Linked DNA regions of Ovis aries. The protein of the gene in region 2 interacts with the protein of the main gene of each other region in a pairwise test. Links are inferred from orthologs where the notes say so. Each region holds a gene or a part of one and is shown on either strand. Other genes may lie near its edges. The genes, in order: PLN, LDLRAD1 and VTI1B.

Region 1 (3,949 bases), on a different chromosome or scaffold from region 2:
GTTGATAGATTAAGGAAAATAGCTATACCCTATCATGAACAGTAGTGGGATAAAAATTTTACTGTAAAATTTAAGAATTTGTTGATTTTGGAGAAAGAGTTAAATTTTTTTTTTCTAATGCTTGAAGTAATATTTTTTTCTTATTTTGCTTGCCTACAATGAGTGTGAGATTAAAATAGAAGACAACCTGTAAAATCATTCTAATCTTAAAATTTTATGATTCCAGTGGCAAGTTATGTGCTCTGACTCAGGTAATTAGCTATAGTGCTTTAAATGAAGATTAGGTTCTATTCTGTTAGTGTGTTAGTAATTATGGCTAATCATACTGTCAGATGTTAAATTAACCAACAGTTCTTGTCTATTGATCATAAAGTCCTGGTGAGAACAGATTTATGGTTTACCTGCACATATTAAAATTCTGTAATTCTTTGAGAAAATTAGTTGTTTTATCTGTCTAAGGGTATGGTCTTGCTTGATTTTACTCAATTCTTATAAACTTAAAATGTTAGGGTATTATAGAAAAAGTATAATTTCTGTTTTAGAGTGTAGGGTCTGATAGAGTTACTATGGAGACTTCTGTATGATGATAAACAAGGGCTATTTCAAATGATATTTCATTTGAATGATTATTTTGGTATACTTGGTGAGGACCTGAAAAATACTCAATAAATCATCCAAGAGGCTTTTACAGTACAATATAAATTATATTTATCCCAAAGAGTGAAGCTGATGCTTTATATATGAAGTGAGCTTATTAGCAGTGCAGTTTCAAAACTAAACTCCTAGTTCATCCTTAGGAAAGATTTGGGATAGAAGCTTAAGGTCTGTTTAGAAAATTAACAGTTACATTATGCACACTTACATTATAGTCACTTTAAAGTTAATTTTTGAAAATAAAGCCCTTCTTATGTTTACAACATCCAGCAGATGAATACGTTTGCTAACAATTTGCTCTGTTCCAAATCTCGACCTTTTCACAAAGAAATTCTTCTATTTAGGAAGTGGTCTCTTATATAGTATTGTTTCCCCTTCTTCATGGGATGACAGATTTTAAGCTGATGGCGGTAAGTGGCAGCGCTGGAGGTTGCAGCAGAACTTCAGAGAAGCATCACTATGATGCAGATCAGCAGGAGACATATTAAGATGAGACAGAAATTGATAAATAGGTTCTGGAGGTTTTGACGTGCTTGTTGAGGCATTTCAATGGTGGAAGCTCTTCTTATAGCAGAGCGAGTGAGGTACTGGACTTTATCCATGGTACCAGGAAGGCAGGGAGCCTGGAGTTTCAAACGCTCAAGAGAAAGGTAAAAAGCTGCCAGCCAAGTGCGTCTTCTTTTAGGTAGCCTGGAATGTAAAAGTAGTAAATGGTTTAGGATCGTAGGTGTAACCTATCCCCTGAACAGGTAAAACACTGTTTTGTGTTCATCCCTCTTCCTCAACCTAATTTGTATTTACGACATCAAATACCTCTAGTCTGTATTGCTCAGGCTCTGTCTTTTTTGGTGATGGTACCATGATATCTTATATTTGGGGTATAGTAACTTCAGTCTTGTCCTCTTTCTCTCAAAATGACTGGAAGTATAATTTGGTTAGGATGCAGCTTGTCTTGGGCTATTCCCTTGGGCCAAAGTTCTTACGTGTTATTTCATTAAGACTGTTTTCTCTGTGAGCACAGTTGTTCTGAGCATCAGTGTATAAATAGCTCCAGAGCAAACTTTATAAAAAGAAGATGCATCAATAAGTTATTCTACAGATGTTGACTTCACTCCAAAATAAAATAGTTCAATGAGAAGTGTTTTACCAGAACTGTAGATTGAAATGTTTCTCATTTGTTTTGATGATTTTATAGCTTTGTAAAATATACTACTTCAAGTAGCATTTTAACAGGATGATATTAAGTACTAAAGATTGCCAGACTCAAATGGCATAGTAATAAAATCATCATTGTCTCACTGTCTACCACACATAGTTGCCATTTGCAAAGGGCCTATACTTAAGAACAGTGTTTGCATTTGCTTTCTTTCAGAGCTCCCACAGGCTGTTCTGCCTAATTAATTAATTATTTGCTGCCTGATCAATTACCTGTGCTGATTAATAAAACAAAACTTAAAACAGTACATCATTGTAGAAAATTAGGTATATTCAGTAGATTAAAAATTAGTTGTAAGTTAAGTGCCCAGAGGTAATAGTTTGGCAATATTTGTTGTCAATCAGGATACTTCTATGTAAATTTTGAAATAAGAAAAATTAGAAATGAAAATTTAAAAATAGTCATAATTAACTGCCAGAGATAATAACTGTTAACATATCTTGACATCTCTGCCGATCAAGATATTACTGCCTTAGCCCAGCTGCCTGGTTTCATTTTCTCCCTAGTGGCTGTACATCTCATGAAGACCCATCTCAGTCTTTAGCTGTATTTTGCAAGAGAGACTGGTAAAGACAGCAGATCTTTAGGCCTGATCTTGAGATTAGGTTAGAACTCATTTACTATTGCAAAGACACCACATGATATACAGTGTTTGGTTGGATTCTGTATAGTTTCAGCACTTCAGCTTGGCTCTATTGGCTGAAGACCCTGCGGTTTTCATAGTACTAGCCTGTAGTGAGGAGATCCAAATAAAGAAATAAAGGCTTTTTCTTTTTTCTTTAAGAAAAAAGTTCTTTAAATTGTTTCAGCTTATATTTGCTTATTATAGATGTAGTGGGTTTCTACTGGTGGGTAATTGTGGAGAAGATTATTACTTTTTTATGTAAACTTGACTAGTCTCTTTACATAACAGAGTATAACCTAGAAGACTGTAAAGAATCAGCATTGGTAGTTCCTGTCTGAACTTAATTTTTATGAAGTTTTAGGACTTAAATGGCGCACAAGCCCTGAATTTTAAAGTTATTGTGAGATATAACATGGAAAAGGAAGAGCAAGCCAGTTCATCATGAAGTCACTCCCCTCCCCCAACACTGGGGAGCGGTACTTTAGTCACATGAAACGTGTCACCTTTCCATAAATACTTCATTCCCTTTTATGATTGTCTTTTGCACATGTTTTTCTGGCCCTGCCTGGAATGTCTCCCCTCCCCCTGCCTCTACCTTTGATTCTTTGCCAGGCAAACTTCAGTTAATCCTTAAGGTCCAGTTTAAATATCACTTCCTAATGAAACCTTCCATTACTCATTAAGGCAGAATTGGTTATCACCTCCGTTGGGTTTTAGTAGGGCTCTAGTGCTGCCTGTATCAAGATGTGGCTAGCAGGCTGTGCTATAATGTTGATTTGCGTGCCTGTTCCCCCTGCTAGACTTCCTGTTCACGAGTATAAAAATTCCCGGGCTTACTTTGTATTCTAGTGCTTAAGTGCAAAATGAGTACCATTTGAATAAATCAGTGAAGCTAAACAGTGAATTATTTATTATGATTTACTTTAATGTTTTTAGAAAATTATTAATGATCAAAGATAGTGCTTTGATTAGCAGGTGAACCATTTAGGTCATAGAATTTGATAAACCTAATCTCCAGTATTCTTCTCAAGTCTCTTTACAGATGAGGAAAGTGAGGCTTAGAATATTTACTTTAGAAATTAAAACTTAAACTATTGTTAGTGACTAACAGAATTAACCTGAACTGAGCTTTGTACAAGTGGGTATTTGGTGTTTGTGAAATACAAAGAGGTTTCTCCTAAAGAGATGAGCTATCCAATGATGATGAATAATGGATAGACTTAAAAGATGATCTCATAATACTTCAGCCAACTATTGTCAGAAAAGTTCCTGGAGACAAATTGAGTATAAAGGAGACAACCAAAAATATTGTCTTGTTTCTTGTCAAACTCAGAAATATGTTATAATTCTAAATAGTCACTTTACCTTGTGCTAAAACCAAAACAAATCCTGTTTACGTGCTGAAATGTTAAGCTTTGTGCGTGCAGTATTTTGGGCCCAGTCTATTTGACAGT
Region 2 (5,338 bases):
TCACCATCTCCCGGAGTTCACTCAGACTCACGTCCATCGAGTTGGTGATGCCATCCAGCCATCTCATCCTCTGTTGTCCCCTTCTTCTCCTGCCCCCAATCCCTCCCAGCATCAGAGTCTTTCCCAATGAGTCAACTCTTCGCATGAGGTGGCCAAAGTACTGGAGTTTCAGCTTTAGCATCATTCCTTTCAAAGAAATCCCAGGGCTGATCTCCTTCAGAATGGACTGGTTGGATCTCCTTGCAGTCCAAGGAACTCTCAAGAGTCTTCTCCAACATCACAGTTTAAAAGCATCAATTCTTCGGTGCTCAGCCTTCTTCACAGTCCAACTCTCACATCCATACATGACCACAGGAAAAACCATAGCCTTGACTAGACAGAACTTAGTCAGCAAAGTGATGTCTCTGCTTTTGAATAGGGAAAGGCAAATCTGAGCAGGTGGGGAGAGTTGGAGAAGGCTTCATGGAATAAGATTCTTGCCTGGTTCTGGACAAGAAAGATGGATTTAGAAAGGTGGATGGAGCCAGCAGAAATCACTCTAAGCAAGTGACAAGCTACATACTGGGAGAGATGTGTTTGATCCATGCCATAAAGAATTCAAAGTCAACATAAACCCTAAGTCAATAAGAAAAAGATAAGTCACCTATAGAAAAATGGACAACAGATAGGAAAAAGCCTTTCACGAGGGAAGAAATCCACACAAGCAATATATATTTAAGAGGGCAACATTACAGCATGGGCTGGGGCAGGGCTTTTCAAACTGAATATGCATTTGAGCCTCCTAAAGCTCTTGTTAAAATGCAGGTTCTGGCTTTGTGGGCCTGGATGGGATTCCGTCTCTCACACATGATGAGGTCCTGCTGGTCCGAGGACCACACTTTTGAGAAGTGAGGAGATAGGTAGAGGTAATGTGTGAACTTCTCAGCCACCCACATCTATAACGCAGCTATGCCTCCTTTCAACTGTGAACCTTGGGCAAGTAACAATGTTTCTGTGCCTCAATTTCCTCATCTGTGAAATGGAGATGATAATAGTCTCCATCATTTGTGGTCAGGAGGACTAAGTGGGTTAACATATGTAACACCTGTAGTGCAGCATGTGACAAGACAAGCGTTCAGTACATGTTAGCAGTTGGTGGTGGCAATAGGAGTTACTAGAGAAACGCAAACTAAACCACAGTAAGATAGCATTTCACACCCACCAGAGGCGGATGGAGGTCAGAAAGTCTGACACTTTCAAGACTGAGGACACAGACACTCTTGTCACTGCTAATGGGGGTGCAAACTGGTACAGCCTCCTGGAAGAGTGGTTGGGTAGTATCTGGTGAAGTTGGGGGCCCCTGCAGTGTGATTCCAGATATATGTGTGTGTGTATTTCTAGAGAGTGTGTTGGGTGTTGAGTGGGGAGGACAAAGAGATCCATCTACGGGGGCACCGCCTTTCTTCAGGATGAGGGGAAAAGAAGTTTCAAGAGACAGATGAGAAAGCTGAAACTCAGGTTAAGTGACCTATCGTTTTAGTGGAAAACACATATTCTTTCCACATAGATTATGTGTTTCATTGAACAAATATCAATGAAAGCACGATCCCTGCTTTTTAGCCACTAGAACCTTAATTCTGGGTATTTCCGCCTGGATCTTCATGCAGCTGGGGGGGACCTGAGATCCTCCATCTCATCATCGATGTGGAGAAAAATCACACACTGAAAAATTTCTGGGTTCAGCTTCCCTCTCAACCCTGCACCATGTGACTCAAGGGCAGTTTCTCGCTCTCTGAACCTCAGACTCTTCTCTCACATAGAGAATTCTGGCGTTGGAGCGTGGCTGTCAGCCTGCAGAGAGGGAAGAGGCCAGGCCGGAGCAGGGCCCTCCTGCCCTCTCCTCTTCTCAGGAGGCAGCCTGGGAGGAGCCTGCCCACAGGGAGGGTGCGGCCAGGAAAGGCCTCCTGTCATTCCTTTTCCTAGCTGCCCTTGGTGACAGGCCGGGAACCTGGCAAGTTTTCTGCACTGCCAGGGCCGGAGACTGGAGCTGGGAGCCGGAGACATGAACAAGATCTCCCCCCAGGTAAGAGCTGCCCCGAGAAGGCTCCTGACCTGGGGGGCAGGGCGCGGGGCAAACCCCGGGATAAGGGTGGGCAGTAAAGAAGGGAGACACAGGTCCCCCACCGCCCCGGAGGCTCTCTACCACGTTGTAGGGAGATGCAACAGGTGAACCAGGTACATGGTTCAGGCAGTGAGAGCTGGGAGGGGACAGGAGGCCAGGGGAGGGAATGATCAACATTAAGGGGGGGCGCCTGGGGAGCTTCTCCAAGGGGGTACCCCCTGAGCTGGTTTGAAGGATGAATGTTTGCCAAATAGGCAGTGGAGGAAAAGGCTTTCCAGGCAAAGGGCACAGTACAGGCAAAAGTGTGGGAACATAAAGCAGACATGAGTGTGGGGCAGCCGAGTGGGAGGGCCAGTGTTTCCACCCAAGGCTCTTGTGAGGCTTCTGAAAAACTTTTCAGTCTAGCTGCCTGAGGCTGGACCTCCCCTCACCTCAGCCCACCCCACATTCTCTTCTCTTGGGCAGGGGGATGCCAATGGCAATGCTGCTGCTGGAAGCAAAGCCCTCCCTGGAGGGGAAGGTAAAGGCCGGGGGACCTGGGGCCAGCCCCTCCCCCACATGGGACTTCCTTGATGCTGGGCGGTTGCTATGGAGACACAAAAGCAGCTCCCTAAGGCTCTGTCTCTCAGACCTCTGCCCCATTGTTGATGTCATCCATTCCCAGTGTCCCAGCCATCTGTACTGATGGCCATTTGCTAAATGCATAAGCTCATGTGCTGCCCACCCCCACAGACATACACTGCCCCCCAAAACCCATAGAGGAAAGAGCTCTAGAGGCCAGTCCCTGACTCAGGGTGACCCAGGTGGGTCTCTACCTCTGAGGGATAAGGTGGGAGGGATCTCACATTTACTGAGCACCTGCTCTCAGCCACAGGCTCACCAAGTGACCAGGACAGTGTGCTTTACTTCTGTGGAATAAGAAGAAAAAAATACTTTTATTGAGCACCTACTATGTGTCCAATCTTGACTCTCACTTGACCACTGAGGGGAGAGACCCAGAGAGGTAGCTACTATTAATAACTATCAAGGATCAAGGCCCTACTGTGTGCCCAGCACCATGGGGCCTCTTCTACACCCAATGGTCAGCTCCGAGGGGGTCTCTTGTTCGGTGCAATAGCAGATGAGGCAGCTGAGGTGACGTGAGGTCGGGTGGTTCAGCCAAACTGGGATCCCGCACGGATGGGAGGCGTGAGGCAGGGTTCAAATTCAAATTAGGGTCCCTCGGCTTGCAGAGCCCCAGTATCTTTTTGCTACACAGTGGCATTCATTTATTTCAACCCTGCTTTATGAAGGACCTGGCATGGAATAATGGCCTCCTTTTCCCATCTGTCCCCAGGGGGATCAGCACTTAAGGGCTTTCAGGCTTTGAAGTGCAACCTTCACCTGGCCATGGACCCTGAGACGCTCCTGTGACCCCTCCTGCCCCACCTGTGCTGCGCAAATATTTGAGAAGCAGCTGCTTGGCTGACCGACCAGGACGCTTCTCCTTGCCAGCCTTCTCGCTGTCTCCCTGGTTACCTGAGTTTACAAGGGAGCCACTGACCAAGGCTGCAAGGAATGTGGGCTTTAGATTTATGCTGCGTCTCCTAATATTTCTCCCTTCCCAAGGTACCCCCACCCTGGGCTTCAGCCACACTTTCTGTCCCCCACATGCCATCAGGACCTCTACCCTCCTGGGCCCTCTACTTGGACTGCGCTCTCCTTGCACCTTCCCCTCACCCACCCGTGGAAATCCCATCCTCCTTCAAACACCCAGGACGCCCCATTCACCACCTTGGTCACCTGGCTGTGCGAGCTGCTGGGGTACAGGTACTGGTCTGCCTGATGGACCAGCACAGAGCAGGCTGCTCTGAAAATGTGAGTGGACTGTATGGAAGAGACCTGAACTGACTCGAACTGGGTTCTTCCCAAGGCACCTATCGTGTGCCTGCTGCTGGGCTGACCTCTGGGGACACATGCCCCTGCCCTTCCCTCAGAAAATAGTCCCCGGGGGACAGAGAAGCGCTCACGCTCTTGTTTTTGTGTCCAGACCTTGTCTTCTAAGTGAGACTGCAAGCTTTTGGAGGGCAAGGGTCAGAGATGTGCTTGCTTTTATGTCCTCTACAGAGCAGGGCACCTGGTGTTAGTCACTCAGTCATGTTCAGCTCTTTGCAACCCCATGGACTGTAACCTGCCAGGATCCTCCAGGCAGGAGTACTGGAGTGGGTTGCCATTTCCTTCTCCAGGGGATCTTCCCGACCCAGGGATTGAACCTGGGTCTCCCATGTTGCAGGCCATCTGAGCCACCAGGGAACTTAGAAGGTCCCCAATAAGATTTTCTTTCATTATTTCAAAAGCCAGAAAAAATTCAGGAGCAAAGTCAGTTAAAGGTGTCACTATCATTTCCAGATTGGCACATAGTAGACGCTCAATAAAGACAAATAGTAGCTAGAACCTTTATAGCACTTACTATGTACCAAGCCCTGTTCTGATCCAGTACCTAGCTCAATCCTCTCAACAATTCTAATGTAGGCATTGGAGCCCCATTTCCCACATGAGGAAAACAGGCACAGAGAAGTAAAGGGGCTTCTCAGTGTGGCCCAGCTGAAAAGTGGTGGAGCTGGGATTCCAACCAGCATCCTGGCAGGTTCCAGAAGGAACAATCACTGACACCATGGAAAGAGTGCCAATTTTGGCAGCAAACAGATGTGGGCTGACATAAGAGCTCCACACAAGGGGACCTGGACTTTTCCTTCTCTGAGCTTCAGTTTCCTCATCTGTAAAATAAACGTTGTCTTGAGTAATGAATTAATGGCCATGAAGGGCCTGCTTTGGCTTCTGCCCTATGGCAGGAACTCAGTAAGCAGGTGTCCGTGTCTCCTTCCTCATCTCCTGGGACTCATGGAAGGACACGGGGCTTAGGGGGTGGAGCCGAGACCTGGGGCCCTCGTCCCGACTGCCACTCACCAGCTACTGGATGTGGGCCAGGCCCAGGCGTTTGGTGGAGTGGGTCCACAGGCAGAGCTGAGAGCCTCTCAGTGGGCTTGGGAGCGCCCTCCTCCAGGGAAGCCTGTCCTACCCCAGGACCCCAGTGAAGAGGGACCACTTGTAGGGCTCAGGGCAGGGGACTGGCTGCTCCATCACGGGTTTCCCACCCCACACAGCGAACTGCAGCCCTTGCTGCTGCTCACGCCGAGGGGCCTGCCTCTCAGCCTTCCTGATGCTCCTGCTGACCACTCTTGCAGCTCTGATCGCCCT
Region 3 (5,238 bases), on a different chromosome or scaffold from region 2:
GCTAGGAAGTTTTCTTTTTGTCCTGCTTTGTGTTTTCAGGGTTGCTCTCGGCCCTGGATCTCGTTGAAGTCAATCCTCGGTTGGCTGTGTCAGAAGAGGAGGCCAAGGCTACAGCCAGCCTGGCAGTGGATGTCATTGCTTCGAGTTTCGGGCAGACGAGGGAGGGAGGGCATGTTGTCTACGACCAACTTCCTACTCCCAGCTCACCAGATGAATCAGAGAGTGAAGAACGTGTAAGAATTTAGGGAATACTGTTTGTTGACACATGTCACAGTGGGCATTCCAGAGCCGTGAGGCGTTTGCGGTGACAGAAACTGAATGATCATCTGGGTCAATACTGCCTTAATGAGAACATTTGTGCATTCTTACAATTGTAAAGTTTCCTTCCCTTTCATTTTGGTGACCGATAATAGTACTGTACATGTATTTGTTTTTTGACGCTCACAGGGTATTAATATGTTGGAGCACTGTGTAAACTTAAAGAAGTCATAAAGGACATTTATTACCTTGGTATATCATACTGGTCTTATTACTGTTCCTTCACATTTCAGTGGTCTTCCGTCTTCCTCCCTCCACCCACAGTCTGGCTACACAGTGCCTTCTTGAACCGCTAGTTCACAGCAGCAATAAGATTTTTTTCCACACCTCTAACGCCATTCATTCACTGAGTGACAGTTCTGGTCCACAAACCCTTCCCTACAGGAGGTTTAATGCCTGCGAAAGAATTTGTAATAAACCAGGCCTCCCAGAATGGCTAGCTCCAGTAAGATGACGATGGAAAGTAGCAGCTTGTTGGTTGTCACTCTACAAAGAGAAGCAAAGTGGGATGTAGTCAGAACTCTGGGTAACCTTATTTCTTTCCATTCTTAATACTGAGGAGTTTGACCTAGGGCCAAGGCAGGATACTGTGAGGCAGACTGAATTTTTGTTTGATCATGTAGCCACTTAGTAACCTGTAAATAATTACTACTATCTACCTCACAAAAATATTGAAAAATGGGGCAATAAGGTACCAAAACATACAAATGTTTTTTTTCTAAAATGTCTTCAAATAGTAATTAGTACTTCACTTTAAAAGTACTTTTTCTATGATGGGCTAATTAGAAAAATATTAAATGTACATGTGAAAAAGTATACCATATTTTAAATCAGCTGAATCAGATTTCAAAGTAGAAGTTCACTACCTAACACATCTACAGCTGTGAGGACACATTAGGAGAAGGGGTGGCGGGAGACTCCAGGGTCCAAGTCCAGCTTGGGTACAAGGAGGTGGTCCTGCTTTAGGATGAGTAACTAGAAGCTGGGAATGCCTTTCAATGTCTTCTCAAACTTCTTGCCTTTCTTTCTCTATAAAGGTAGAAATTTTTCTGACACTCCTATATTCTTTAACACAAAGAATCGAAATCGGACATTTCTTCCTGCTCCACAAGGAACTTACCACTGTTTTGGAAAATCTCATTCTCTTGCTAGTTCCATAACTTGGTTATAGTCTCATTCATACTACCTACACCGACTCACGCCCCAAATTCAGCCTCAGTGCCAATACTTCCCTTCTGCCCATGGCTCTGCTGCTGTCAGCACTTACCTAGACGGTTTTTTCTCAAGTCAGCTCCTTGCTAACAAGACAGAACTCCCAAATAAGGGCTGACTCCCATAAAGGGCAAGCAGAGCCAAAATCAAGTACGAAGCCATAGCAGTGAAAAGTTTTCTAATTAAGTTTTTACAAATTTATTTCCAGGAATGCTCTGTTCCCATGTGCTCTCTTCTTTAAGGAATGTAAACTAGGATAAAAAGTCCTTCCAGTAGACCAGTTTTCCATGGCTCCAAATCATACCAGCATATATACTTCCAAAAATGGATTTTTTTCCTGGGATACTTAACTATGTGATACTCTTTATTTCTTCTGTTTTATCAGTACCTTTGCAAGTCACAGTTTAAAGCTTTGACATTCTCAGCCGAAAGATTAGAATTAAGAGAAATTAATTCTGTGACTAATTTTTAAAACTTACTTTCTGGACATTGAGCGGAGAATCTTCCGACTTTTGCTCAAGTTTTCACTTGTATTTACCAGCTGAGAAGAGAAAATAGCAATTATTTCCCTCTTCTTACAGAAGTACACACTGTAGAACTGAACCTGAGTAAATTGACGGGTGTTAAAGGGTTTATGTTGAAAAACTCCCAGAAATCAAATCAATTTAAATGATGGCCTCTGTAAATAGAAGAAACTGGAAAGGACAAGATACTCTAATACTTATCAATAAGGCCTAGGAATGATTGTATCCCAAGGCTGCTGTGAGGAGACCTCTGGGACTGAGCTAATCCTTCACTGTGGCTACACAAAACAAAGTCTTCAAGTGTACCTTGCCAGTAACCGAAGTAACTCTGAGCAACTTAAGATGTGAATTTCATCAGCCAAACTCCAGGAGAGCCTCCTGAGTTAATGTTTGTTTTTATAGGCTGGTGGATTACCACTTTTGAGATCTGGTTCTTTTTCCTTTTTTCTTTACCCTTTTAAGAGATACTTACATTGAATTATGAAAGGAATTAATCTTTTTTTTAAAAGCCTTTTTTTCCCCCTTTTTGTTGCCTGTTACTAACCTATATAGCTGGAGGATATTTCAACAGATGCCACCTGCCATCTGTTCCTGTTCACCAGTGGCCTTGGTTAAGTTGATCTCTCAGCTCATTCCTCAGCTTTTAAATTCAACTAATCCATCTAGTAAGTTCAAAAGTAAAAACAAATAAACCATGCAATCTGCAAACAAGCTGCTTTCTCTGCAGCTTACTTGAATTCAGTACTTTACTGTGAATTTTCACTGAGGAGGGTGATACCTGACTTGATTTTAAGAGTGGAGAATTATGGCCACTAACGTGGGAAAATAACAGCTCAGTGTGGGGATTTGAGACGACCTTCTCATGTCTAAGTCTTGCCCACAGTATCTGTGTTTCGTTTATCTGCCTCATGCTCTTAACACAGCATTCCATTGGCAGTTTTTAAAATTCCTTTGCAGATGGTACAGAAAGGAAGAAATAAGTTGTTTTTCAGAGCCTCTTAGAGTGATAGTAGATAGAGGCCACAATATAGTCATCATTTGGCCTAAGGATTTTGTTTTCTCACAGTGATCTCCCCTAGTGTGTAGCAGTAGTGGTGTTAGTTGCTCAGTCATATCTGACTCTGTGACCCCATGGACTGTAGCCCGCCACGTCCTCTGTCCATGGGACTTCCTAGGCAAGAATACTGGAGTGGGTTGCTGTTTCCTACTCCAGGGGATCTTCCCGACCCAGGGATCGAACCTCTGTCTCCTGTGTCTCCTACACTGCAGGCGCATTCTTTACCACTGAGCCATCAGGGAAGCCCATGATCTCCCTTACCTTAGGTTAAGAAGAGTCCAGGATTAAACCTCTTTAAATTGTCGGTAGTACTATTTTATGACATGTGGAAAATAGCTTTGGCTCTAAATGACAGGAAAGCTAGAATCTTTTAAAGCAAATGTTGGCTTTCATAAGAATAGCAGGTGTTCTACTAGACGTGTGAGAGACAGAAATTTAGTTCATAATACAGGACCTAATAAAAGGATGGTATGGCTACAATGCTATTTGACAATCTTCAATAAATGCAGAAACTGGGTTTTATGCAATCTCACTCCCCCTGCCCAATGACCTCTAAATCTTACAAGTAAAATTACTTCCAAGGGATATGTTTTAGTCAAGCAAATTACGAACAGAGAAAGCATAAGAACCTAAAAAATCATACCCTGAATTTGGAACTGTGGTAGCTTCTGACAGCATCAGGGTGTAATGGGCCCACCTACTTTCCCCATTTTTGCCCCTCTCCCTATCCACCCAGACTTACTCTATTCTTGGTACGTTCCAATTGGTCACGTTGCTCCCCCAGCTCTTCTATGATTTCTGAGCCAATCTGGTCAGTCTCTGCGGCAATACGATGAGAACGCTCAATACTCTGGGTGGCCCGGTTCAGGCTGTCAGTGCCTTGCAGAAGCAATGCCCTTTGAGACTGTAGCCGATTCTGACAGGAGTATGGAAGGGAATTGTTAGACTTCTTCCATTATAAATGAATTTATAAGAAGGGATATAATGTGTAGTAATTTTCATTACTTGTAAGACAATCAAAGATGCTAATGAATCAGACTACAAGAGAACCTGGGGTTCAATCTAGGATCACAATACCTCCCAGTCCACTGCTTGTTACATGTAAGTGAGGCAAGGAAAGGATTCAATACACCAGAGCATCTTCCTTGTGCTCCTGATGAATCTGAACTGACTCATGTGCTTCCTGGACTAACAACTTCTGAGAGGCAATGGCCCAGATCTGGGATGCAGGAGCTACCTGAAAATGCATACATCCTATCATTTTGATAGGGTAAACCAACTAAACTCTACCGCCTTAGAGATAGTGTAATTCACTGAAAGTTCCCACTGATTGGTACTGAGTGACCACAGAATAAGCTATTCGTGTTTAGCACACACAGAAATCACTTAAAAGTGTGAAAGACTACTCCTCTCTGGAAAAAAGTAGCTACACTCTTGGTAAGCATCCAAAGAATTTCGCCTCAGGCCAAACACAGAAGACAAATACTGAAGTTGTTACACTGGTGATTTACTCTCAGGGGAGGTAGTATCTGGGGCCAAGTAAGCGCCCTATTTCTGAAACTCCACCAAAGTATTATTCCACCTATTCCTAAGCACAGGAGGCATGAGGACCGAAGCAGCCTTTGTCAGGCCAGAAATAACTACTGACAGAAATGGAGGCAGCTCTAAGTCCTCAGCTCTTCAGAGCACACGTGCGTACAAACTCTGGAAAAGGGGTCAGCTCACAAGGCCTGTTACTGAGCAGGTGACCATTAGCACTCGATACCACCAGTAAGAAGCTGAAAAGATGTGTTTCCAGATCAGAAGCAACAAGAAGGCTTTTTCACTTCATATACAGCATACAGACGAGTGAGTGAGGAAACCACTGAATAAGGCTGAAATGAACCCCAGTTTACACTGGCTTAAAAGCAGCAGGAAAACAGCATTTTTAAACATAAAAGATGAGGATTTTCAACTGAGTGGGCTTAAGAAAGAGCAGGGAGAGACAGTAAGGTCACATGAATCAACCCCAGATTTGGAACAGTAATTCTACTGAAAGTACTTTATATACCTATATTGTTTTTATAATTTCTGAAACTAATAATTTTAAAGCAAAATTATTGCTTGGAATTATCTTCCCCCCTTTTG

The links.
Region 1: the proteins of LDLRAD1 (region 2) and PLN interact in binary tests that used the Homo sapiens proteins (3 or more experiments, as listed by UniProt). The link is inferred for Ovis aries from reciprocal best matches to the Homo sapiens genes LDLRAD1 and PLN.
Region 3: the proteins of LDLRAD1 (region 2) and VTI1B interact in binary tests that used the Homo sapiens proteins (3 or more experiments, as listed by UniProt). The two-hybrid records come from large-scale screens. The link is inferred for Ovis aries from reciprocal best matches to the Homo sapiens genes LDLRAD1 and VTI1B.

Annotation. Positions count from the first base shown.
Region 1 is NC_056061.1:19,648,894-19,652,842, forward strand, and holds part of PLN (cardiac phospholamban), read right to left. Parts: intron 1,345-3,949; 5' UTR 1,257-1,344; coding exon 1,098-1,256; 3' UTR 1-1,097. UniProt on the Homo sapiens protein: Reversibly inhibits the activity of ATP2A2/SERCA2 in cardiac sarcoplasmic reticulum by decreasing the apparent affinity of the ATPase for Ca(2+).
Region 2 is NC_056054.1:28,543,314-28,548,651, reverse strand, and holds the start of LDLRAD1 (low-density lipoprotein receptor class A domain-containing protein 1), read left to right. Parts: upstream 1-1,948; 5' UTR 1,949-2,041; coding exon 2,042-2,062; intron 2,063-2,566; coding exon 2,567-2,621; intron 2,622-3,437; exon of another isoform or gene 3,438-5,244; coding exon 5,245-5,338.
Region 3 is NC_056060.1:77,601,494-77,606,731, forward strand, and holds the end of VTI1B (vesicle transport through interaction with t-SNAREs homolog 1B), read right to left. Parts: intron 4,028-5,238; coding exon 3,854-4,027; intron 2,072-3,853; coding exon 2,010-2,071; intron 805-2,009; coding exon 708-804; 3' UTR 473-707; downstream 1-472. Other genes in the region: ARG2 (arginase-2, mitochondrial), read left to right, coding at 40-245. UniProt on the Homo sapiens protein: V-SNARE that mediates vesicle transport pathways through interactions with t-SNAREs on the target membrane. These interactions are proposed to mediate aspects of the specificity of vesicle trafficking and to promote fusion of the lipid bilayers.